Oreochromis niloticus: one gene and its partners. The protein of the gene in region 1 purifies or fractionates together with the protein of each later gene. This does not show direct contact. Links are inferred from orthologs where the notes say so. Each region holds a gene or a part of one and is shown in the gene's direction. Other genes may lie near its edges.

The links. The genes of interacting proteins can lie anywhere in the genome.
Region 2: the proteins of ift57 (region 1) and ift27 purify together in Homo sapiens (co-immunoprecipitation; 3 studies listed by BioGRID and IntAct, with this or other methods). This does not show direct contact. The link is inferred for Oreochromis niloticus from reciprocal best matches to the Homo sapiens genes IFT57 and IFT27.
Region 3: the proteins of ift57 (region 1) and coro1a purify together in Homo sapiens (affinity purification with mass spectrometry; 3 studies listed by BioGRID and IntAct, counting the BioPlex papers as one, with this or other methods). This does not show direct contact. The link is inferred for Oreochromis niloticus from reciprocal best matches to the Homo sapiens genes IFT57 and CORO1A.

The regions. Positions count from the first base shown.
Region 1 is NC_031982.2:33,263,373-33,271,264, reverse strand, and holds the start of ift57 (intraflagellar transport protein 57 homolog), read left to right. Parts: upstream 1-4,880; 5' UTR 4,881-5,157; intron 5,158-5,224; 5' UTR 5,225-5,225; coding exon 5,226-5,380; intron 5,381-5,816; coding exon 5,817-5,991; intron 5,992-6,151; coding exon 6,152-6,270; intron 6,271-6,363; coding exon 6,364-6,454; intron 6,455-6,810; coding exon 6,811-6,879; intron 6,880-6,979; coding exon 6,980-7,102; intron 7,103-7,328; coding exon 7,329-7,400; intron 7,401-7,712; coding exon 7,713-7,844; intron 7,845-7,892. Other genes in the region: zinc finger and SCAN domain-containing protein 21, read left to right, coding at 954-1,340, 2,019-2,530. UniProt on the Homo sapiens protein: Required for the formation of cilia. Plays an indirect role in sonic hedgehog signaling, cilia being required for all activity of the hedgehog pathway.
Region 2 is NC_031971.2:8,801,321-8,809,123, reverse strand, and holds the start of ift27 (intraflagellar transport protein 27 homolog), read left to right. Parts: upstream 1-4,798; 5' UTR 4,799-4,944; coding exon 4,945-4,978; intron 4,979-5,431; coding exon 5,432-5,511; intron 5,512-7,803. Other genes in the region: syngr1b (synaptogyrin-1), read right to left, coding at 3,684-3,785. UniProt on the Homo sapiens protein: Small GTPase-like component of the intraflagellar transport (IFT) complex B that promotes the exit of the BBSome complex from cilia via its interaction with ARL6. Not involved in entry of the BBSome complex into cilium. Prevents aggregation of GTP-free ARL6.
Region 3 is NC_031969.2:29,278,289-29,286,179, forward strand, and holds the start of coro1a (coronin-1A), read left to right. Parts: upstream 1-4,886; 5' UTR 4,887-5,037; intron 5,038-6,156; 5' UTR 6,157-6,162; coding exon 6,163-6,360; intron 6,361-7,743; coding exon 7,744-7,866; intron 7,867-7,891. UniProt on the Homo sapiens protein: May be a crucial component of the cytoskeleton of highly motile cells, functioning both in the invagination of large pieces of plasma membrane, as well as in forming protrusions of the plasma membrane involved in cell locomotion.

The DNA.
Region 1 (7,892 bases):
CAACTTTTGAACCCAACCTGTTTATCTCCAATCTTTCAGCAGCAAGCTACAGACCATGTCCAGCACCAGCAACGATCCCACTGCAGATTCTCCAGAAATCTCCAGAAATTCTTGTATTTACATTTACAGCACTACATGAACAAGCTTCCGACTGTTTATCTCACTTTCTTATGAAACACGATGCTGCTCACAGTCTTTGTTCCTCCTTTGAGTCGGAGCCTTTCTCCAGGCTCTAGGACCACAGCTCTGGAAGAATCTCCACATGGAATCAGTTAAAAGTCTTTTTGTTTAGCGAGGTTTTAGCGAGCTTCTCATTGATATTGATGGTTATCTGTTTTCTTTGACTCCTTCCTAACTTGGTTTTGCATTCCTGTTAACTGTATTCTTCGTTGTTTTTAATTATTGTGTTGTGCAGCATTTGTGACTACGTGTCTGTGAAAAGCACTTTGTTAATAACCGTTACTTACTGTTTCATAACTAAATATTGGTGATCCATTCATTAATTAGTAATTAGTGTATCTGCAGTTAATACTGTGGATCCGTTGGGGCCAGCCACGTCTCTACGTGTGTGCTGGCTTTGTTAACTACTTGGTAGCACAAATATCTAGACAGTGCACTTAGGCATGGAAGAAATGACCTGCTGAAGTTCAAACAGTGATACTATTAGCATGAGGCAGAGACCTGGATGGTCTGACTGTTTCAGAACTTCAGATCTGCATCTCTTAATAAAATCTGGACCTTAATTGAGATGAACTACAGCAGCAGAAAAGCACACCAGGTGGTGGTTTGATGATATAGGAGATATTTTCTTGGCAGAGTTTAGGCCTTTTAAGACCAAGAGGGCATTTTTAGGCACCACACACCGGCCCTGCACCATCAGTTATGTCATGTACAGTAGATGTTTTTCTGCCCTTACATTAGTAACCTGTTTTTCTGTTTCTTTGTCCCAGCAGATCTTGCACAGCAGCACATCGGTGTTCAGACTGAGTTTTTCACAGACCAGCAGGTCTGTGACCAGGAGAGGAACTCCAGTAGGGGCCAGGAGGACCCGAAGGCTCCACAGATTAAAGTGGAAGAAAAGGAAGTCTGCATCAATCAGGAAGGAGGGCAGTTTGCACTGAAGCAGGAGAATGATGCCGTTATGATGGCACCAACTTGTGAAGAAAGTGAACCACAACCAGAAAGTGACCGGCCCCTCTCTAACAGTTCTGATATTTGCACGTTTGTTAATTCCACATCCAAAGAAACATTAGAAGTTACTAATAAGAGCGCTGACAATGAGGTAGAACTCAACCATCTGGACAGCACCTGGAACCCCGTGGTGAAGCTCTACAGGATAGGTGCGTCTTTTTAACACCACAAAAAAACATACACATAGATGTAAGTCAGATAGACTAACAGGGCTAACACAGCTAACTCTGAGAGCTAACAGCATCAGACTTTTTAGGGTTAAGTTTGAAATAAAATGTATCTATCTGATTATTAGAACACCAACCGACCTCTTTACCATCAGGAAAGCCAACAACGGGCTAGACTCTGTAATTTGTACTTCTGCGTCCACACAAATACTTGTTTGTTTCTACTAATTCTAAAAAAAAACCACATTATTTTTAGTCATAATGGTGAGAGTTAAACACCACGTCTTATTCTGAGTCAGAGTTCTGCGTAAGCAACATGAAAGCATGGATCCATCCTGCCTTGTATCAGTGGGTCAGGCTGCTGGTGGTGTGAAGGTTATAAATGCATACGTCTAGTTTTAATCTCAAATATGAGTGAAACGCTTGCGCTGTTGAATTCTGCATGACTGACTTTTTCCTCTTCAGCCTGTTTGCTTCACGTGCTGAATCATAAACATAATTGGTGGAAACACGTTAGCAGCCCAGCAGCTGCCTAACAAGTTACCTGACATATTTACTTAGTGGCCTCGAGGCCATCATCGTCTCAGACCCTGTTACAGTATACCTGCTCATAAGAAGTTTTCCGTCATCTCATTAGTAACCTGTGGTTTGTTCCTGCAGATTTTCCACAGCAGCATGTCTGTGATCACAAGGAGGTTCCTACAGACCAGCAGGTCTTAAACCAGGATCGGAACTTCAGCCCAGACCAGGAGGACCCAGAGCCTCCGCAGATTACAGGGGAGCAGGTAGCAGTCGGCCTCAGTCACCAGGGAGAGCAACTCGTACAGAACGAGGAGACTGACGCTGTTACAGTTCAGCCATGTTTGGGTCCTCCTGCCCATGAGCAGCCTAACACAGCCCCTGTTAAAGTCAGCGCAGATTCTGATTTGGCTCTGAAAACCAAAACCTTCACAGGTGAGAAGCTGTATCTCTGCAACACCTGTGGAAAAACACTGAAAACCGTGTCCTCATTTAAAAGGCATAACGCCAGTCACACAGGGGAGAAGCCGTACACTCGTCACAGCTGTGGGAGAAAATCTAGAGGCTTGAGGTCTTTAAAAAGGCACGTGAAGACACAGCTGATCAGAAGCACGTCTGTAACACCTGTGGGAAAAGGTACAAACAGGAAATAACTTCACATGCAACGTCACACAGGTAATAAGACAAAGGCCTGAAACGTCTGCTGGAAAACTGTGCCCCTGAAACGAGGCTTGATGGTAAAAAGTACGAATTTGTACAGGTTCACATGTGAGATGGTTCAATAAAATCTCGTTTTTGTTCTGTGTGAGGCTGCATAGTCATTTCTAGGCTGTGAAATTTCACATCTGACTCATGAATAATACATATTATTAATTTTACGAGGTAAATTAATGATATGCCCAAGAACTGCACAGGTGCCCGGTACCTGGGTGGAGCCCTGGGACCCTGTTCTCGACTCATGGCTGGACTCTAGTGGGGGCTCTCTCACCCTTTGGCACCCCATTAGGGGCCTCCCTCCCTCCTCCTCCTGCTGGGATAGGCGGATGTCACTGAGATGTGTGGCCTCAGGTCTTTGGTACGCTTGGGGGCTCGGATCGATCTCTGTCTGCCTCTGGTTCCTGGGGTGTTATTGCAGTTTCCCACCCTCATTATCAAGTACATTTGTGACAAAGACACACACACTCTCACTCACTCTCTGTCTCTCACACAGTACGGGAAGATTGATGATTTATGTACCTGCGTAGTTTCTCTTTTTTGTGTTCCAGGTGCAGCAGTTGGTGCATTTCTATCCTTTTATTACATGTCCTATCCTACTCCCATCCTGCCTTAGACGCTGTCATACTGTACACCACACAGTAGCGGTTTTAGATACGGGCGACACGGGCGGTTGCCCGGGGCGGCATCGTGATGGGGGCGGCATCACGGGCATCGGCAAAAAAGAAAAAAAACGCTCGTACTCATGCTGCCCCTACGGCAGCCAGCGCATATTGGGAATGGCACAGGCATCGATCGGTTTTCTATCGCCCATTTGCTGGGAGTAAGGGCGCCCTCCGTTTGCGAGGTGCGCCTGATGCTTGCGGCGCAGAGAGGAGAGGGCGGGGCGGCGGGGGATTCTCTGGCTGACTGGAGCGGCATCTAATAACCAACTAGCAAAATAAAACAAAATAACAAACATGAAAACACCAGACATCATGATACAGACTTATAATTTGCACCGATGTTTTTTCAAAATTCTATACACGAAAAGTGAGCGCGAGAGCCCTCGGTGCGCCTGCTCGCTGCTGAAGTCAAAGTAAACTTTATTGTCATCTCCGCTACATACAGTCCAGTATATAGAGAGACGAGACGACGAGGCTCCAGTTACAGCAGTGCAAGGAAACAAACAATAAATATACACTTTAGGACTCGGGGTAAAGGGATCAATGACAATTCAAAATTTACAGTTTGATGATTTAAAGTCTCACACACAACCAGTCGAAAGGGGAGGAGCCCCGGCTGCTTCTATTATGCGTCTATCATGTATTCATGATTTGAATCCTGGGTTGTGTGAAATCTCAGAAATGCACCCTAGACAAAGTGAATCTGTGAACTAAGGTGTAGGTCTGTTAGGTTATGTTGTGGTGATCCTTGGGTTGAGGGATGGGTGTTCATACTGGAGTGCAAAATTAAAACCAATGGAAGATGGACAAGAAAAGTTCAAAGCCATCAGGTGCTCAGTTTAGAAAAAACAGAAAAGAAGAGGAGGAGAAACGAGCAAAAGATACAGGTAAGCAGATGTGTCATTGGATAACGGCAGGTCATCCTGAAACAGTCAGAATCAGAATACTTTATTAATACTTTACTAAGGAAATAATGTGGGTTACAGTTGCTCCAAGAAGAAATTGTAAAGATAGCAACACTAACAGATTAAACTCCAAACAATACATTATGTTACAGATTTTAATATTAATTAGTCATTGTCAGTTGTTGATTTGTCCTGTTCTCATTGTATGAAGAATTATGATGGCTGTTTGGTAGCCGTTTGCATACTATGCATACTCTGTCTCTCTTCATATGTGTGTGTGGACAACAGTTTTATGTTAATGTATGATCCTTAATATGTGTGTGTGGGGGGGGGGGGGGGGAGGGAGTGTTCGCCCAGGGCGCCAAACAGGCTAGGACCGCCACTGACACCACATACAATATAATAACTGAAATAACACAAATAGGAATTAACAAAGAAACAGATGAAAGATATACATGAACAAGAGGAGCCTGTAGAGAATTTATAGAGGTGGTTTTGGAAAATGTGTTTGGCACCACAGAACATTCAGATCATAAATCTGGTTGCAAAAGCTGCCACACAGGATAGGACAAAATCACCAAATTTATATATCTGTATGTATACACACACACACACACACACACATACATATTTATATATATATATTCAGTTTGGGGGGAGCTTTTAATCTTTGAATACTGGAAATACCGTTTTTAAGCACACACTCCAGCCTGTGGAGGTCGCTGTTGCGATGTTTTCCAGCCGACACAAAGAAGACAGCTAAGCTAACGGCAGCATCTAACGGGACACTGAGAGGATTCAGACTGTCATTTTATACAGCTTTTTTCCAGACTGTGAATATTGATACAGCTTATAAAAGAAATGTGACCAATGACTGACTTCAGACCAGTGTTTAAAATGTTATGCCGCAGTCGCTATCTGCTAACGTCAGCTAGCCGCTTAGCTGGTTAGCTTTCGGTTGCCTGACAACAGAAGCCAAACAAACACCGCTAGCAGGTTAGCAGTGCTAATCTGTTAAAGGTTCTAGGTTTTTACATTTTCCACGCAAACGTCAAACTTGCAGGATGGCGGAGGACGGCAGACGCGGCGACGAGGAGGACCGAGGGCCCGGAGCGGCTTATCGGGGGGTCGTAGTGATGGAGAGCCTGCTGGAGAAGCTGAATGTACTCAACTATGAGGAGGAGGTTCTGAGCAAACACAACATGAAGAACCTGTCCAGGTGAGAAGCGCATAGTTCGGATGTAAGTACGGTGTCCTTTTTAGGATTTAGAACCAGAAAAAAACAATCGAAGTGTGTAACTCAGTAGTTTTCCTTCTCAGACATTTAGAAAAATATAATGAGACACAATAAAAACACAGACACGTCCTAAAGATAAGTGATTGTGTTGTGAAGTTCATTCATCCCTCTGGTTGGAGGAGAGTGATGGAGTTCAGGTATGATGTGGAGGGTTTGTGTGGCCTTGGCATTGTACTGGACCGTTGTGGTGGAGAGAGAGCCGCCTACAACCCTCACCTCTGATCGATCAACTCAGACAAAGTATTGCATAAAAATAAAATGAAATCCAGGCTTGTTTCCAGTGTTTGTGCCGTTTTGATGTTTTCGAGTGTGCACAGTGAAGGAAAACCCTTCAGTCCCCTCTGCTTTCTCCGTGCAGGCATTACTTTGTCTCCAGTCCATACCTGGCGTCTAACCCCGGCGAGCAGTTCTACATGTTCACCATCATCGCAGCGTGGCTCATCAATGTGGCGGGGAGGCCGTTTACCGAGCCGCAGGAGTATGACGAGCCCAACGCCACCGTGTCCAACATCCTGGCAGAACTGCGGGCCTTTGTGAGTCACACAGAAAGAGTTTAGAAGCTGGAAATGAGCTTTGATATGGCTGGAGTTAGTTTGATTGTGCTTTGATAAATCTGACCGATCATGCGAAGGCGGGAGCTTCTGTTAAACAAGAAGAGTTTGATGCTTTATCGACGACTCCTCTGTTTTTCAGGGTGTTAAGGTGGACTTCCCACCCTCCAAACTGAAGTCGGGCTCAGGCGAGTACGTCTGCTTCGTGCTGGACCGACTGGCTGAGGAGGCGCTGAGGAGGAGAGGCTTCACCTTCAGGAAGTATGCCATCTGTTTTCTTCTTTTTGTCAGGCTGCTTTTGTTGCTTCTGTGTTTATAGAAGTTTTTTTTTACTTCTTTCTGTCTCTGTTACAGGACAAACTACCCATCAGAAAACACAGAAGAAGAGTCTGTGGTGGAGGATGACGCCGAGCTCACTCTCAGCAAAGTGGAGGAGGAGCTGATCGTAGGTGTTCCACATTCGTCTAACTTCCTCTTCTTTTCCGTTCGGCACACTTACAGGATGAATCTGTTTTTACTGCGGTGGTTTCCTGCACCTCTGTCAGAGATCACCAAACACTGAGAGGAAATCAGGGGACAGATTTCAAAATAAAACATCCTCACACTTTTATTTTAAAAACAATTTCATGTATTTTATTACAAAATATTTCCCTCATTTTATAAAGTCCATCACACTTTAGAGCAGAAATCATAATCGAATATATTGCCATGACCGTGTTTTGGGTGTTTTTAATGCTCAGCGCTGCGCGGGTCCAACCATGAATCATCTTCACGTCTCATGATTTTTTTGTGTGTGACCAGGACGAAGGGGACGAGGAGGAGGAGAACGTGATGGACCTGGAGGCTCTGAAGTTACGAAGCACTCACACGGTGAGATCACCTCCGAATAAGATTACATCATAATTTCCACTTTTACGCTCTCACGTTCGCGCCGAGTTTTGAAATCGCCATGGCGTCTGTTTTCTGGCAGGAAGCTGAGATGTCCTCCAAACCCGACGAGATCCTAGAGTCGACGGTCGATGCGACAGAGTGGAACCTGGAGGTGGAGCGTGTCCTGCCGCAACTCAAAGTCACCATCAGGACCGACAACAAGGTAGGCGCTCACCTGAGGTGTCGGAGCCGCCGCCAGATGTGAGATGAAGTGAAAGAAGCTTCACTCTGCCGGAGCTTCACACACTCGTCCAGAGTGATTGTAAAAAGCTTTTGTTTCTGTATGAATGACTGAAAGCTTTGAAGGTTACCTGCAGTTTCCCAGCATGCTCTCTGGTTGGCTGTCAGTGTTAGTGGCTCTCAATCTCTGGTCTGTGTTGGTCCTGCAGGACTGGAGGGTCCACGTGGACCAGATGCACCAGCACAGAGACGGGATCCAGTCCTCACTCAAGGAGGCCAAGGTGCGTTCACTGACCCGCTTCATCATCATGTTATGTCCTCCCTGCAGCCTCTCACTGTCATTGGACGGGACAAACAAGAAGTATTATTTTATTTCAGTCACACATACAGAATATTATTGATCAACCAGATTTAATTAAATAAACTAAAAACAAACAAGCAGAAGAAACAGATGTTTCCATGTTCAGCGGATCTCCTGTTAACCACAGAGACAAACGTCCTGAGGACTGTTTCAATAACTCTGGAGAAAGATGAAAACGAAATAAATTCATGGAGTGAAACTAACATGATGTCATTCTTCGTCGTCTTTGCAGAGCCACCTGGACAAGCTGCAGGAGGACATCGGGAAGACGCTGGAGAAGGTGAGCAGCAGAGAGAAGTACATCAACAACCAGCTGGAGCATCTGATCCAGGAGTACCGCAGCGCCCAGGCCAAACTCAGCAAGGTGAACCCAGAATTGAACGTTCCTGATTCGTTCACGTCATTGCAAAGT
Region 2 (7,803 bases), on another chromosome or scaffold:
AAACTGCAACCCTAGATAATAAATAGAGATTTTATAACTACAAATATCTACTGAGTTGTGCCATATACTTTCAACATAAAACCCTAAAACTCTAAAAAAAGGTGAAATAGCAGTGATCAAATTGTGCCATATTAAAATATGCTTTCCCTACGTGACTGAAAAATATTCCTGCATACAGACAAATTTACAGCACAACATGTGTCATATGTTCAGAAAACTGCCAGGTTTACTAATATAAATAATATACATCATATTAGTATACCTCGTATACAGCCAAAGATATGAGCTCACAACTAAGCATTACAACGATTAAATCCATGATTTACTGACACATCACATCACTTGCCATTGGCTTTGTTATTTAAGGCTAACAGATTAATAAACTCTTATTTATTTTTACCACAAACCATGCATTTTCTTTGTATTTCTAATTATAATTTTAAGTATAACTTTTTAAGTTTATGGCACTTTCAGGCCACAGAAGCTTTTTAAAGCATTTATAATTTTTAAAAGAAGAACACCTCAGCTCCCACTTTAGTGTCAGGACTAGGGCTGTTCGATATAACGATATATATCGGATGACGATAGAAAAACGTCTATCGTTTCATTTTACGCTATCGTTTGTTTCGTGGTGTCGCAAAATAAACTGTTTACGGCAATATTTTTTCATCATTTTGATGGTCACTGTAGTGGCTATATTAATTTCCTAAAGTTCTCTCTTTCTCTTATATTTAATATAACCACACTATGGAAGGACAAGCGCTTGTTTTTTATGCGTTTTCGTTAGCAACAACGACGGTAAAACCACGGCGTGTCCGCTTGTTTATTTTCCACATAAACCTTTCACAATAAAGCTCAAGATCCTGTTGAGGCTTTTCAAAATAAAACGAGTCACGTGAAAGATGCAGAGTATTAACGGATGAGAAGCAAAAAAGAGCCGCCAGGTGCTAAAAAATAAACCTTAGACTCAAACGTTAGAACAGGCTTTTCCCCGCAGCACGCCGTGTAATAAATACTCACAAAGAAAACGGCGGCCGTTACAACTTACTTCTAAAAATATATCGTTTCATGCATCAGTTAAAACACTCGACTCCAGGTACGCGACGCCCAGCTGGAAACACTTCACGCAAGTCGAGATGCCCGACATTCACAGAATTTACAGGAACTGTTACATTTTTGTAATTTATATCGTTATATCGACGATAGATGTTTTAATATCGGGATATGAGATTTTGGTCATATCGCACAGCCCTAGTCAGGACTGTACAGTACAATACAAACCTTACCTTATATAGGTTTATATAGTTATAAGCATTATGTACTGATGCAACGCTGGTAACTGACATTATGTGACTGCTTACATTTTAGTTCTGCAAACAACCAGTGGCTCTTAAGATGAAACTAAACTTTGAGAACCTGAAAGATGCTAAAGTTCGGACTTTATGCTACAAAGGAAACACAATGAAATTTTAACTTTTGAACACTATAAAATCTTTGCAAGTGTTTCCTCTTAACCAACTGGTGCCTCAACACAGAGAAAATCAGTACAGTGAAAGTATAGAGATGAAGACACTGAAAAAGAGTTAGAAGAAAGTAAAAGATCAGATCAGGCTTTTACCGCCTGGGCTTATTGGCTACCAGAACACATTTAGAGAAAATAGTCCCTTGTAACATTGGGTAACATTGCTGTACAAAAGTTTTGAGGCACCTCTCATTTCTTCTTATTTTGTTTCCAAGCAGCTACACTTTCTTGTGATATTTTAAAGCGCTCTTGAACAATGGTGCTCCAGACTTTCTGAGTCTTCACAGTTTTTCATTGCACATTGGCTGCTTTTTCACTTATTTTCAGAGGAATGTTTCTTGTGTTTGTTAAGCCAATTATCACTGACCTGTGAATCAGCACAGTGTCTACACATAACAGACAACTGAGGGAAAAAAACATTTTAAATTGTATTTTTTGGCAAAACACAAAATATGTTCCCATTTCTTTAGTTGAGTCTACAAAAGAATGATGCCAAGGATAACACAGCTTAACAGACATAAACTACTATTTTAGCAACACCACCACCAATTCAGCTACTTACATACACGGACAAAATCCCAAAACTCCAATCATGTCTTCCTACAACCTTTTGTTGTGGCTGTAGCCAACTTGTTGCCAGCACACAACTTCTAGCCGGCTAATACATCACATAAGCATTCTTACTGATGTAAATATAAAAGAAATAATAACTAAAGGTAAGATGTTCTCCCAGTAGGTTGTTACCTTCAGGTAATCCCAACAACTGTGGTCAGGAAGTGCCTTTAGTCACACGTAAGATAATCTGAATGAACACCAGATACAAAAACTACAAGTCATTTTTCTTATTAAAAGATGTTCAAGTACACATTTCCACATCTTTTCCTGTTTTTCCATAAAACAAGGTGAAATAAAAGAATTATTATTAAAACAAATAATAATATGCTCTTTGTAACAGACTGCACTGTAGTCAAAAATCAGTTGTATAGTTCAAAATCTAAAACAACACTGTCTATGTGTTAACTTATTGTCCAAATATGTTAAAAATAATGATAATAAGGGCAATTCCTAATTGCTGCACATTACCAAATGTTCATTTAAAAAAATGAACTGTAACAATGTAATGTATAAATCTCCGTCAGATATTCATCACCTGACGCAGTCTATGAATGGACGCAGTATATTTACTTCCTGTCTTTCTTAAAGTACAACAATTTAAGAGAACTTCCTTGATGCGTTCTAATGAAAACACCACATAGTGCATGCATTTTCCTCCTCTTAAAACACTACAAGACACAAAAGATACAGCTGCGGGTTAAACACTAGACACCCAAAACAAAAATCTTATAAAATACCACCTGGTAGTGCGCTAAAAAGAAGAAAATCTGCCCAAAATCCTGACTTTAACTCATTTAAATACATGTAAATTTTCCATGTAATTTTCTTACATAAGTACAATGTAAAACAATGGTCTGGTCAAATGAAATGAACTTGATTGTTATACATTCAGTTTATACCGAGCACATTTTCCTTAATGATTAATTATATTAATAAATAAACCTCTGGTTTCATACATTTCAGCTGTTATTTCCTTAAAACTCAGCGTGGAGCCAACACTTTGGGGAGCACTTCTGTTGCCATCTGTTTACTATGCTTGTCAAAAGTGTTCTCCTACTGTTGCTACTCCTTTTTCATTAGTGCTCCTCCTCCTCCTCAGAGCACGGAGGGTGGTCAGTTATTATGAAATTATTTGCTATGAAATTCAACAAATGTGTGACTGCGTGTTCTCACTGTGCTCATGAGAAAACATCATCTGGTCACTGTATCTGTAGAAGGTGGATTTTGTACACAGCGATCGGGACTCTGTTCAATCAACCCATCAACCCACTGCGTGAGGAGAATATTATTAGTGAGATCAGGTAATAGCACCAAACACACAAGTGAAAACAAAAGTTAAAAGAACAAAACACCACAAAGCATGTTACAGCTGCCTTCAGTATCTATAGGAGCTCCTCTCTGAAACGAAGCCTGTGTGGGCCCTCGGTTGGCTAATTCAAACCAATATTTGACAACATATATGAATGATTTAAAAAAGTGGTGGCCTCTGTAGCTAACTGTGTATCCAAGAACAAAGTTATTTTTCGTTTTTATATCTCCAACTCACCCAAGACACTATGCGGAGAATGGTCTGAGGCTGCTGGAGGAAGGTGACGGGGTCGAAGGCTCCTCCGGCTTTCCCGGCTCCGTATGCCTGCATCCCCTCCATGGTCCTCCTCCTCCTCTCTCTCCCTCCCCGCTGCTGGCTCAAAGGCACAGGGTGTGTGGAGCACCGGGTAACCGAAACGGAAAATCCCCGAAACTGCTCCCTATCACCACTACTGTACTACCGCTGAATCTGCACGGCTGGGATGCGCGTCTCCCCCCACCCCCGGTCTCCTTTGGCGCCCTGTTCTCTCGTGCTGTTGGTTTTAAATGTAACCTCTAATTTGTCTCCGTTGAGTGTTTGGGTAAAGAAAGCTTTGTGATGGTGCTAGATAGTGATGCTTTCTCCCTTTAGTTCAGCGCAGAAGCCGGTGGCGACCCCGTGAACGCGCCTCCGTTGTCACGCCTCGGACGGAGCGCTCCTCGTCAAAACACCCCGAGTAAAAAAAACAGAAAGAAAGAAAAACAGCGACGTACTCAGGACCACTACAGAGAGTCACGCGCTCTTCGTTTACCGATGGTGGGCGGAAAAACAGTGATTAAACCATTAAACCAGAACATGATATTAACTTAATCATATATATCATATCATATATGATAAAGTATGTGAGCTGAAAATAAATATTGGTAAAGGGTTATTTTGTGTGAAGGCACTTATTAAAACACTAGAATGCTTCTACATGAATAAACGACAGTATAACAGTACCACCACCCAACAACGTTGAACTCCCTGATTGATGGTGCCGTGGGTAGGTGCAATAAATTCCGCCCTCTAGCGGTCTTACCGTATATTGCCTGAATATGCAAGGACCTCATGGTTGTTTTCTCCTTCAGGCTTTATACGTGATATTGCTCTGTTCTTAAACAAGCCCCATTAATATTTAGTCAAGTCGGCTTATTGGTGTTATAAATGGTTGTGCACACTGATATTTACGTTTGTACACTGTTTCAGTAAGTTCTGTCTAACAGACTCTGCAAAAGTAGCCTTTTGCTTCCTTTACGTCCTCACAGAAAACCAATGAAAACACGACTACGCGATTACGTCCTCGACGGCTGGACCAATGAAACAGCCCCGTGGCTGGTTGCTAAGAGACGCTTTGTGTCCATGTTCCCGAGGCTGCAAGAAGGATAGTCCATCGCATATGGACCGATAAACAGCGAAACATAGCTCGATTAGCTTCAAGAGAGTTTTACCTGACAGAGACCGGAAGTCATCCCATGTAATGGTCAAGTTAAGGGCGAGATGTCTGCTGGTCGGTAAGGTTTTCAAAGCGGCCCACTTGATAAATAAGGAACGGGGGCTAAAGCTAGCCTTTTACTACAGAAACATCCCCAGCCACAGGCCGTGTCCTTCTTATGTTTCAGATTCAACCTACTTGTTATAGGACTGACGACAAATACAAGCCTGATACTATTTCATATATAAAAGATTATGTTTGTTGGGTCTCTTTTATCATGTAGCTACAGTCATTTAGCTTACACAAACCAATCACTGCCGAGTGATGATGTTTCAACTCACAGAATTGATGGTGAACCAGACACTAAACTCTAAAACTCCCTGATAATGAGGGGGGTTAATTATGAATTCTGTCGAGAACGAACTCCTTAAACACAAATTAAACTATTAATTATTAATTCACAAAAACTACATCGTAAACACAACCACAGGCTGTCATATTTGTATTCTTCCCTGTGTCTGTGTGTCTGTAGGAGATGCTGCAGTGGGCAAAAGTGCTCTTTCTCATATGTTCTACAGCGATGGCACTCTCTTCCAGAAGAATTACAGCATGGTGAGAGCATTAACACAGTCACTAAAAGGCTCATGGTTTGATTCCATGAGTGAAGTGAGTCTTCCTACTTTAGATCCGATGTGTCCAAAATAAGGCCCTCCTTTCATAAGTTTTACAGCTTTTCCTATTAATGCAAAACAAAAGGAATTAACTAGAAGATAAACAACTGAATGATAGAAAAGTGCCTGTTTTTTCCACCATCTATAGAAATATGTAACAAAATCAACATTTACTGTGAATAAAAAAAATGTGTTTTGTAAATACAGGACAGTTTGTTGAGCTAACACAGATCTCTATGTGATCATTTGTAGTTAAACATCTTTACAATGACAGAAAGTTTCGCTTGTTAGGCCCACGTGAGATCAACGTGTGGTGTGTGTGGTCAGCGGTATAAAATGAGTTTGACATCATTGCTTTAGACTAATCTGTAGGGTTAGGACAGTCTTTTGTTCTGCTCATTGGTCATTTCATTCAGTTTATAAAGTTTCTCCTGAACGATAGATGTTGCCACTCAGACAAAATTTCCATATTGTCACTGGTACAGAAGTCAAAACCAGAAGCATAGAAGTTATAAAAGCATATTCCTCTTTTTCCTTGTTTTTTTTTTCTTTTTCTTTTTTTTGCAATATTTCCCTCTGTATAATCTGTGGATCTCCGAGCTCATGTACTGATATATCATTAAAATGGCAGAAAAAAAAACGGCACTCATATCATCAACCTGCATTGGTTGGATTGCCTGCAATGCCCCAGGTTCCAAAATCAAAAGGTACTTGGCCGGCCGGAGCGACACTCAAGTGGTATCGTGGCCAAGTAGATGTGACGTCAGTTTGACATCATTTTTGTCACCTGGCAAAAGCTTTATTGATGTTACCATGGTAGCAATCAGTGACACCAGTCTGTACCAGTGGGAATCAACACTTGGTGCTATACACGTGTACAGACACGTGTATATGAAGGTTGGTTTATCTTTAGATAGTTTAAATTAGGGGTGTCAACATAAGACTCCAGGGGCCAAAATCAGCCTGGAAAAGATTCTAAACTGGCCCACTAGATGGCTTTGAAAAATTTGAAATAAGGCATAAATTTAATAGGTTTTAAGCTTTCCCTGCTGATAAAGACTTCCCCTGTGGCCATTCATACTACACCTATACCATTTACTTACTTACTTAATTAGTATAAGTAAATAAGTAACAGATAAACAGTTAAATTACAGAAAAGTTTCAGTTTTTCACTATTGACTGTTGACTTTTTTTGGTCTTTATCACATAGAAAAACTGAGACATAATGTTGAAATTGCTCTTCTTTTTTATATTAAGATTTCTTGGGGCTTAAATGTGTAGTTATAATTCTTTACACAGACAGAAAGGATTTTTTTTTCTGGTTTGGCTCACTGAAGATCAGAATTAGTTGAATGTGGCAATGTAAAATGGGTTTGGCCTTCCTGGTTCATATAGAGGAGCTGCTATACTTTGTGTGTTTAAGTATACACTTGGTCCGATTGACTAATTTTGTTGTGAAAGGGTGAATGTGAGGCTCAGAGCAGATGTCAGCATGCCTTTCAGTTTTTGCACCAATGTACCAGCTATGGATATGTCCTTCACGTGGACTTCAAGCAGGCTCGAACAAAGTATAATAGAATGACTACTTGTCTGTGACATCTGCAGCCGTCCACATCTGAGAAACTGCCCCCTGGTGTAGCACTGTCACATAACACAGAGAAAGCGAGCTCACTGCCAGACATACTGCAGTGTATGTGGGGTAGGCAGCATAACATGTCTTATAACAGTAAGTAGGGATGTGTTGTACTCCATTCACACAATCAGCAGAGGAATGGAGCTGTAAAACAAGTTGTTCAGGGATTTACAGATCGGGGTGTACTCCGTGACTAGCCACAGGCTTATGTTTTTGTATTCAGGCTGGGTAAGTGAGGTGAATTGGGTTTGAAGGAGCAGCTCATGAAGTGCAATGCTGGCTCACTGCCAGCACAGAATAGATAGTAGTTTGTAGGGAATAGCCTTATCTGTGTGCTGTGAAGCGCTCAGAAATCCAGGCGTTCAGTCCTGCCTGACACTGCAGCAGCTAATCAGCATGTAATTGGCAAAATGTGCTTTTTTAGTAGGCACACTTGTTCTGATAGCTAGTATTAACCTTCCTGAGACCTATTAAGGTCTTAGAAGGCTCTAGATGTATTTATAGATATAGGCATAGCAGTTAAGCAGTGAGTAACCGTGCACAGTTAATCACATGTAGCCGTTTACTCCAGATTTGCTCAATCAGTCAAGAACTGTAGAA
Region 3 (7,891 bases), on another chromosome or scaffold:
ATATGACCCTAATATGTCATATTAACAACCTGAGCAGTGTGTTAAAAACATAGATGCTTTTAATCCTTTAATATTTTCCAGCGGCTAACTATAGGAGAGAGACAGTTTTCAGGTGGTGGATGCACTTCAGGTGTCACTATCTAAATCTTAGATCTCCTTTTTGTTCAGAACAATTTTCAACTTTGAGCATCAGTATCACGGGATGTGTACACTGCTCAATAAAATTAAAAACACATCAGATCTCACTGGGAAACAAAATCAAGTCTGGATATCTACAGCGATATGACTGGAACGAAAGGATGCCATGTCATTTGATGGAGATGAAAATTATGAATTCAAAGACACTGAAAAGTTATGTGGGAGGCTAGTCCAGGTAGCCAAAATGTCATTGCAGCATTTCAGAGTGGTTCTCCTGGAGGATCTCCATCAAGTGCTGGACCAGGGCATCGCTGGGCTCCTGGACAGTCTGAGGTGCAATCTGGCGACATTGGATGGACCAAAACATAATGTCACACAAGTGTTCAATTGAACTGGGTCAGATGAGTGTGGGGCCCAGTCAATGGTGTCAATTTCTTCATCCTCCAGGAACTGCAGGACACACTACACCAGTGTAGTCTGACAGTGGGTTCAAAACTTTCATCCCGTTATCTCGGTTATCACTGCTGAGCCTGTAGAGGTCTGTGTGTCGACCACCAAACCGGTGATGCTGAGTGACGCTAGAGGCTGCATAATATTCTCCGGACTCTGTCATGTCTGCCAGAGCCCACTAGAGGGCGTCAAGCCCTCAGGCCAGCCCTCACACCAGTGGCCTGCTGGAGGCTCTGGCATTGCTCATCAGATAGCGATCCTGCGGGGGCTTTTTGACATTTTTGCCTTCATTGAATTGTAAGAGTGAAGACAGACTGGAAGCAGGGAGAGAGAGAGGAGGACAGACATGCAGCAAAGGGCCACAGGTTGGACTCAAACCCGGTCACGCAGCATGGGGTCGCCTGCTCACCCACAGAGCTAAACTGGCACCGAATGTCCCAGAAAGTCAACTGACTTGATTCTATACTCTGATTAAAAAGCGTTCCTTAAATTTGTTTGAACAGTTTATTGTCTAGGATGTAGAGTGACAGAGACCTGGATTTGTTCTGATACGTCCAAAACAACCTGATTTTTTTTTCCCCCCTCTGATTCCCCTTGTATCAAAATTAATTCTTATATGTTCATTTTTAAATGGTTGTCAGATTTAAGTTTGAGATTCTGTCTGCTGAAAGAATTACAAATGTGTGAGTGAAAATGGTGCAATTCAAAGTAACATTTACAAGAAGGGGGTCAGGTGGGAATCTTTTTTCTGATTTGGCTGATTTTAATTGAATTACCTACACACAGGCTGATATCTAACTGTACTGTATACTGTACACCCCAGATTATTCACAGATGTAAAACATTCAAACAGCTGCCAGTCAAAGTTGCATCTCAACAAACCACATGAATTCAGCCATGTCAGAATCAGTTTCTCTTTTAGCACATAAACACATTGTGGCTATAAGTATAAGGATGTTGAAAAGACGGTGCATAAAGCTGCATCTGGCTAGAAGGAAAAAACACACAAAAGTAGAAGAGTTGGGCAGATTTGAACAAAAGGCTGGCAGTGGCAAGGATATCGATGGTTACGCCCTTGTCCAGTACAGAGGATGTATGCTGTATCACAGCTGGTCCAGATGTTTCACTAACTCATCTACAGGTTTTGTAGAGGGTTGTAGGAGCCGTGGCAGTTGTCTGGCTTGAAATGACAACTGTAATATTCACGTTTTGACTTTTTTCTCAAAATACTATTTTGAGTTTAATCTTGAAATTTCATCTTAAATCTCAAAATGGACACTTTTCTTAATGTGGCCCTAATACTCTGTTGTACTATAGTGTAACTTCCAGAGTAAATAAAATGTTTTAAAATCTTTATTGGGGCCAAAGTTGGTAAATACTATAAGTCTGGTCTTACTATATTTGACTGGTGATTCCATGCATTGAAATTAAAGCTTATTTTATATTTTATTTATTTATTTTTTATCAATTCTTTTTGGGGGACTTTGGTATTTGCAAAGGGAAATACATTTTAAGAAATAAATCAGTTTATGTTGAGTTTGTTTGCAGCAATATATCTCAGAAACAGCTTGCACAGGGCCATTTTTGCTACTGTGTAGCATCCTCTCTTCTTTAAACAACACTCTGTAAACCTCTGGGAACTGAGGAGGACACCAGAGGTTGGACTTTTGAGGGAGGAATGTTGCCCCATTCTTGTCTGACAGACAATTGTAGCTGCTTAACAGTCCTGGGTCTCCTTTGTTGTATTTTTGGTTTCATAACACTAAATGTTTTCCATTGGTCAAAGGCCTGGACTGCAGACTAACCACTTCTACTATAAACCCATGCTGCTGTGATAAATGTGGTATGTGGTTTTGCATTGTCTTGCTGCAGTATGCAAGGCTTTCCCAGAAAAAAAAAGTACTATAGTCCAATGTGACGTAGGCATGCCCTGGTAAGGAAATACAGTTGTCCTAGTTCTGCTGCATTAAACCAAATGATATGTGAGTGTCATTTGCACACATGTTTTTACACTTGTGAGGACAAGTGTAAAAACATGTGTGCATGAGGTTTTCTGTCAAAACAACAAAAAACAGGAAGTGCTTTAGCTCTGCTACTCAGGGATTAGACTGAGTTTGCTTTTATAATAAAACTTATAGAATAAAAGTTTAGAATTTTAGGAGTTGAAAAGTTCTCCCTGCTGTTTGAGTATTGCATTTCCTTATAGTTGAAGGATTTAAAAGAGGTTTAAAAGAGCACACCTAGAGGCCCATGCATTCAAATGATTCTCCTTTGGCTGCTCCTTTTAGCAGTCACCACAGGGGATCATGTGCCTCCATCTCACCTTGTCTCTAGCAATCACCTCTGTCACACCAACCCTCTTTCACAAGATCTGTGACTCTTCTCTGTGGTCTTCCTCTTTCCCTCCAGCTGGGCAGCTCCATGTTCACCATCCACTCACCTCCTCTGCACATGTCCAAACCATCTCAGCCTTGCCCCTACAAATTGCTCAGCCTATGCATCTTCCCTTTTTGCACCTGTCTCATTTTCATCCACACAGATATTCTGCCTTGCCTCTACTGACTTTCATTGCTCTTCACTCCAGAGCATACCTCCACCTCTCCAGGCTCCCTTTGCAACTGCTCCCTACTTTTGCTACAGATCAGAATGTGCTCTAAAAACATCATAAATCATGGAGACTCCTCAATGACCTCATCTGGTAGCCTGTCCATCACCACTGCAATGAAGAAAGGGTTCACAGCGGTCCCACACAGACTTTGAATTCTGTCCTGCACCACACATACTTCTCTGTCATTCGTGACTTCCTCATTCAGCAACACAGTTCCTCTCTTAGCACCTTAACATATGCCACAAAGATGCACTGACGCTCCTTTTGACCTTCTATGTACTTCTCCATCAACTCTCTTCAAAGCAAAAAAAACCTGACTATACTGCCCTTTAGGACCAGTACACTTTTCCTCCCTTCCTCAGACATCCTCTCACTCTCCTAGGCTTTGGTAAACAATCTGTCAATCTATCAAGTCCACTTCCCTCTCTCCCAGACATCTCCACTGGTATATCATCTTTACCAACCACCTTTCCACTCTTCATCTTCTCATGGCTGCCCTGACTTCCTCTTTTCTAATCTCGTGCACTTCCCGATTCACTAACTGTCCTCCTCTCTCCCATTTTCTTCACTCAGCTCCTCAAAATACTCCTTCCACCTTCTCAACTCTCTCTTCACTCATAAGTACATTTTCATCTCTTTCCTTAATCACCCTGCACATCTTTTCCAGCTCGATCTCTCTGCCTAGCCGATCAATACCAAGTCATTTTCTCCTTCCTTAGTGTCCAGCCTCAGATACAACTCACCAAGCCTTTGCCACCCCTCAGTTTCCACTACACCTAGCCTCCAAGCACTCCTGTCTACTTTCTTTGCTAACCTCTTGCAATGGTTAAACTATTAAATTACAGCATCCCTCATTTCCCATAATGTAAGAGTAAGCCTTTCCACAGGCTGAGTAATCATGACTAATAAAGTGGCATCATGTGTAAAAACAGCTGATTGCCAGTTTAAGTCTAATTAGGTTTGGTGTGAGAACAGTTTGCTGTAAATGTGATATGTAAATAAAGTGGGTTAGATTAGGGGTTAACCTGAAATTCAGGGTCCTTTAAGAAGCCAGTCTCAAGTCTTCAGACTCTGACAGGTTATTTGAAACATGATCTAAATAACTTTAATTTCATTTGCAATCATCAGCATGTAAACTGCAGGTGTCCCCAGTTAGACTCGAGAAACTGCTTAAAAACTGAAAATTAGGCCTTAAAAACTGTTTTTTTTTACCACCATCTTTGCTCTTGCTCCCACATATTTAAATTTAGGATTCTTTGTCTGTCTTAGGATTTGTCTGATGCCTTATATAAATCTTATAAAATAATAGCAGCAGATGAGAAGCCTCTTATAGAGTATTTAACTCTAATATCTGCAGAAATCATGAGTCAAAAAGAACAGACATGCACTGACATCCATCACTGAAGAAAATATTGAGTTTTTTTCTTAACTTAAACTCTGTGAGCTCTTCAGACACACTGCATTTATCTGTGTTGTTGGAAGTGAAGTGGTTCTGATAATCAGGTGACTTCTAAGCAGCAGTGGCCTGCATCTGTTTGCCGTTGTTGGTAAGTGTGGATTGAACTCTGCATTGCACCGCTAGACACTTTTATCATGATTCAATCCTACAAAAGATCTCATGCAGTGCCCTGTGTTTCACTTTGGTTTCTGCAGCTTGTTGCAGACGGCACATGTCACAGCCGACACCTCCTACTTCCACCTTGTTTGAAACTCTCACTTCCTCCCTGTCATTTGTCATGTACTTTAACCTACAGTCTCCTCTCGTGTTCTCATTCTGGTGGCAGGGCGTTTGGTGCACTGCCAAAACTCCTTGAGCTGAATCACCCCCACTCGACTCCCAGGTAGGCCCACATCATCTCTTTGCAGTCTCAACCTCTTGAAGATATCATCTTACCTGCAATCGGTGCATTGGTTAAAGAGGGAAATAGCTGAAGCTAACCGTATGTCATTAATTTCAGTGACACATTTTTGTTTCTCATCTTCCACATGGCCTTGAGTTTCTCCTATTTCAAGGCAGTGAATTGTTTCCTACTTCGTACTGGTCAATGTTTTCCATCACAACACAGAGAGATAGTGGTCGAGACAGATTACTGACATGCATTTAGAGTCCTGATAAAATTACGGCTCACTCTGTAAAGGATTATTAAATTAGCTGCAGAGAAGCCCGAGAGGTCTTGTGATGCACATGCAGCAAAACTAACTGTCATACGCTACCGAATCTGAGCTTAGGCGCGGCTGCAGATTTCAGGAAGTAAACTCTACAAATGGAGGTAAAGAAAGACTTATTTAGTGCTTTTCATCTGTTCCTGCGTGATGCAAAGTTCGTATATTTTGCAGCTGCTTTTGATTGAAGTTCTGATCTCATTGCGCACACAGACACATGCGTTTACTGGATATGTTTCAGCTTACTTCGTCAAATATGTCATTTAAAGCATGCCCTACATGCGGGGAATTAAATAACAGCATGACTGTATGAACTAAGGGAAAGAAAGGTTTGTGGTTTTGTTACTCTCTTTGTAGGATGTGGTGTAACTGCCGCTCGGGCAGCTTCTGTACCTTTTTTAAGGACACTGCATGTGCTTTAGATGATAAAAGGCCTACTTTTTTGTTTCCTTTCTGCTGTTTTTTTTGTACATTTGCTTGCTATTTAATATTTCTGTGTTTCATACACACATATTAAAAAGAGAAGGCGATAGAGTGCCAGAGTACCAGTCACAGAGGAAGCAGTTGTGAAAGCTTTTGCTTCTTCCTTTTTTAGCTTTCCTCTGTTGAGTCTTTCAACGGTTTCATCAGCTTTGTGTCTGTCAGATTATTTCCGCATGAAATCAAAAAGCACCAACAAACAATATGATTTATGATGACCCATAAAATAAATCTCTCTCAACTCTGCTACAGACTTCTTGCTCTTCTTGCACATTAATTTTCTCCTCTTTGCGCACTTTTTTTTCATTCTTTCTCAGTTCACCATGTCCAGAAAGGTTGTGAGGACCAGCAAGTTCCGTCACGTCTTTGGCCAGGCTGTGAAAGCTGACCAATGCTACGATGACATCCGAATCTCCCAGATGACCTGGGACAGCAATTTCTGCTCTGTTAACCCCAAGTTTGTGGCCATGATTGTGGACGCCAGCGGTGGGGGAGCCTTCATGGTGCTTCCGCTGAGCAAGGTGGGTCACAGGAATCACCAGGAAACAAAAGAACACAAATAAACCCACCGTTTGGCTCTATACTGTTTTATATACTTCTCTTAATACCATGTTTAGGTGTGTTAACTATTACAGATGCAGGTTGGGGATTAAATTTTGTTTTAGCAGCATTCTTGCACTTTAAAATTTGAATGCTGCCAGTCACCATCACACATTCAGCTAAATAAGGAAGTTTGATGCTGTCTTTGAGTCTGTCTACACGTCACTTGCTCTGCTGTTGAGAAGTTTTCACCATATTAGGAGTTTGTTGTCAGCTCAGTGTAGGAGGACAGGATGTGGCCTCAACCCACTTATTGTGCAGTCACTTAAAGAGGGCGTTAGGTTAGGGCTTGCAGCTCGTTTATTGCATTTTATGTGCCCGAAAAAGTGCAAAATTGCAAACCTTGTAGCCGAGTTAATGGCCAGCTGAATTTGTCAGAGGCTGTGAATTCAGTGAAGTGTCTGTCCTGATCACCTTTGTGTTCACTCGGGCTTGGGAAGTTCGTTGTGTGCAGGCACTGAAAATGCTTACAGTGAGGTCAGGTGTTTTTTATGTGATTGTGGTGTGAAGACTGTACTTCAGAAAGATGTCTACTCTTTTTTCACTGAATAATGTCACTGCTGCTTGCTGCTGCAGTTAGCTACAGAGAGATCACTGTCTCCTAGCATAAACTTAATTACCATCTCCTGCAACTAATTATATCATTAGAAATGAAAGTGACAAGAATCTGAACGTCTTGTCCTTATTTTACCTGACAATTATATTGTCCCACTTTGTGGTATTAAAAAGGCGATTTTAAACGATCTTAAATTTACCTTTGTGAAGCCTGCAGAAATCACATTATTCATGGTCTTATCTCGCGTCTAGCATGCGATTCTCAAAGGACAAAAATAAGTGCAGGGACCAGTGGGCATAAAATTGCAGAGCTGCGCTGTAGTGGAAAAAAACTCATCCTGTTTTGAACGTGATGCTGGCATGGTTGTGTCATCCTGCTTTAGGGCCCAGTGGTTTTTTTAAGGTTTTACCAGAATGAATTCAACTACATGGAGCTAAATGTGACTGACTTATAATGGAAAATATAAAAATAAAAATGATGTGTAATTGTCATTTTTCCCAGACAGCTTCATGACTGGGTTTCCTCTTCTTGGCCCTGATCTCATTTTTAACCCACTTAATAGAAATGAGCGCTCATTGAAGGCAAAGCTGTGTAATTGGTGTCAGCTGATAAACTTCTCCTCATCTAGCTTTGTCTTCTTTTTCTTCCATTTGCTCTTTGCTCTTTACGTTTTGTAGCTGCAGTGTTTTCTGCACTGCATGCATGAGTCATAGTCAATGTCCTCCTATCCTGATGCTTGCCTCTGCAGACAGGACGTATCGACATGTCCTACCCCACTGTATGTGGCCACACGGGTCCGGTCCTGGACATCGAGTTCTGTCCTCATAATGACAACATCATTGCCAGTGGCTCTGAGGACTGCAGTGTCATGGTAAGGCAATAAAGTCTGACACGGA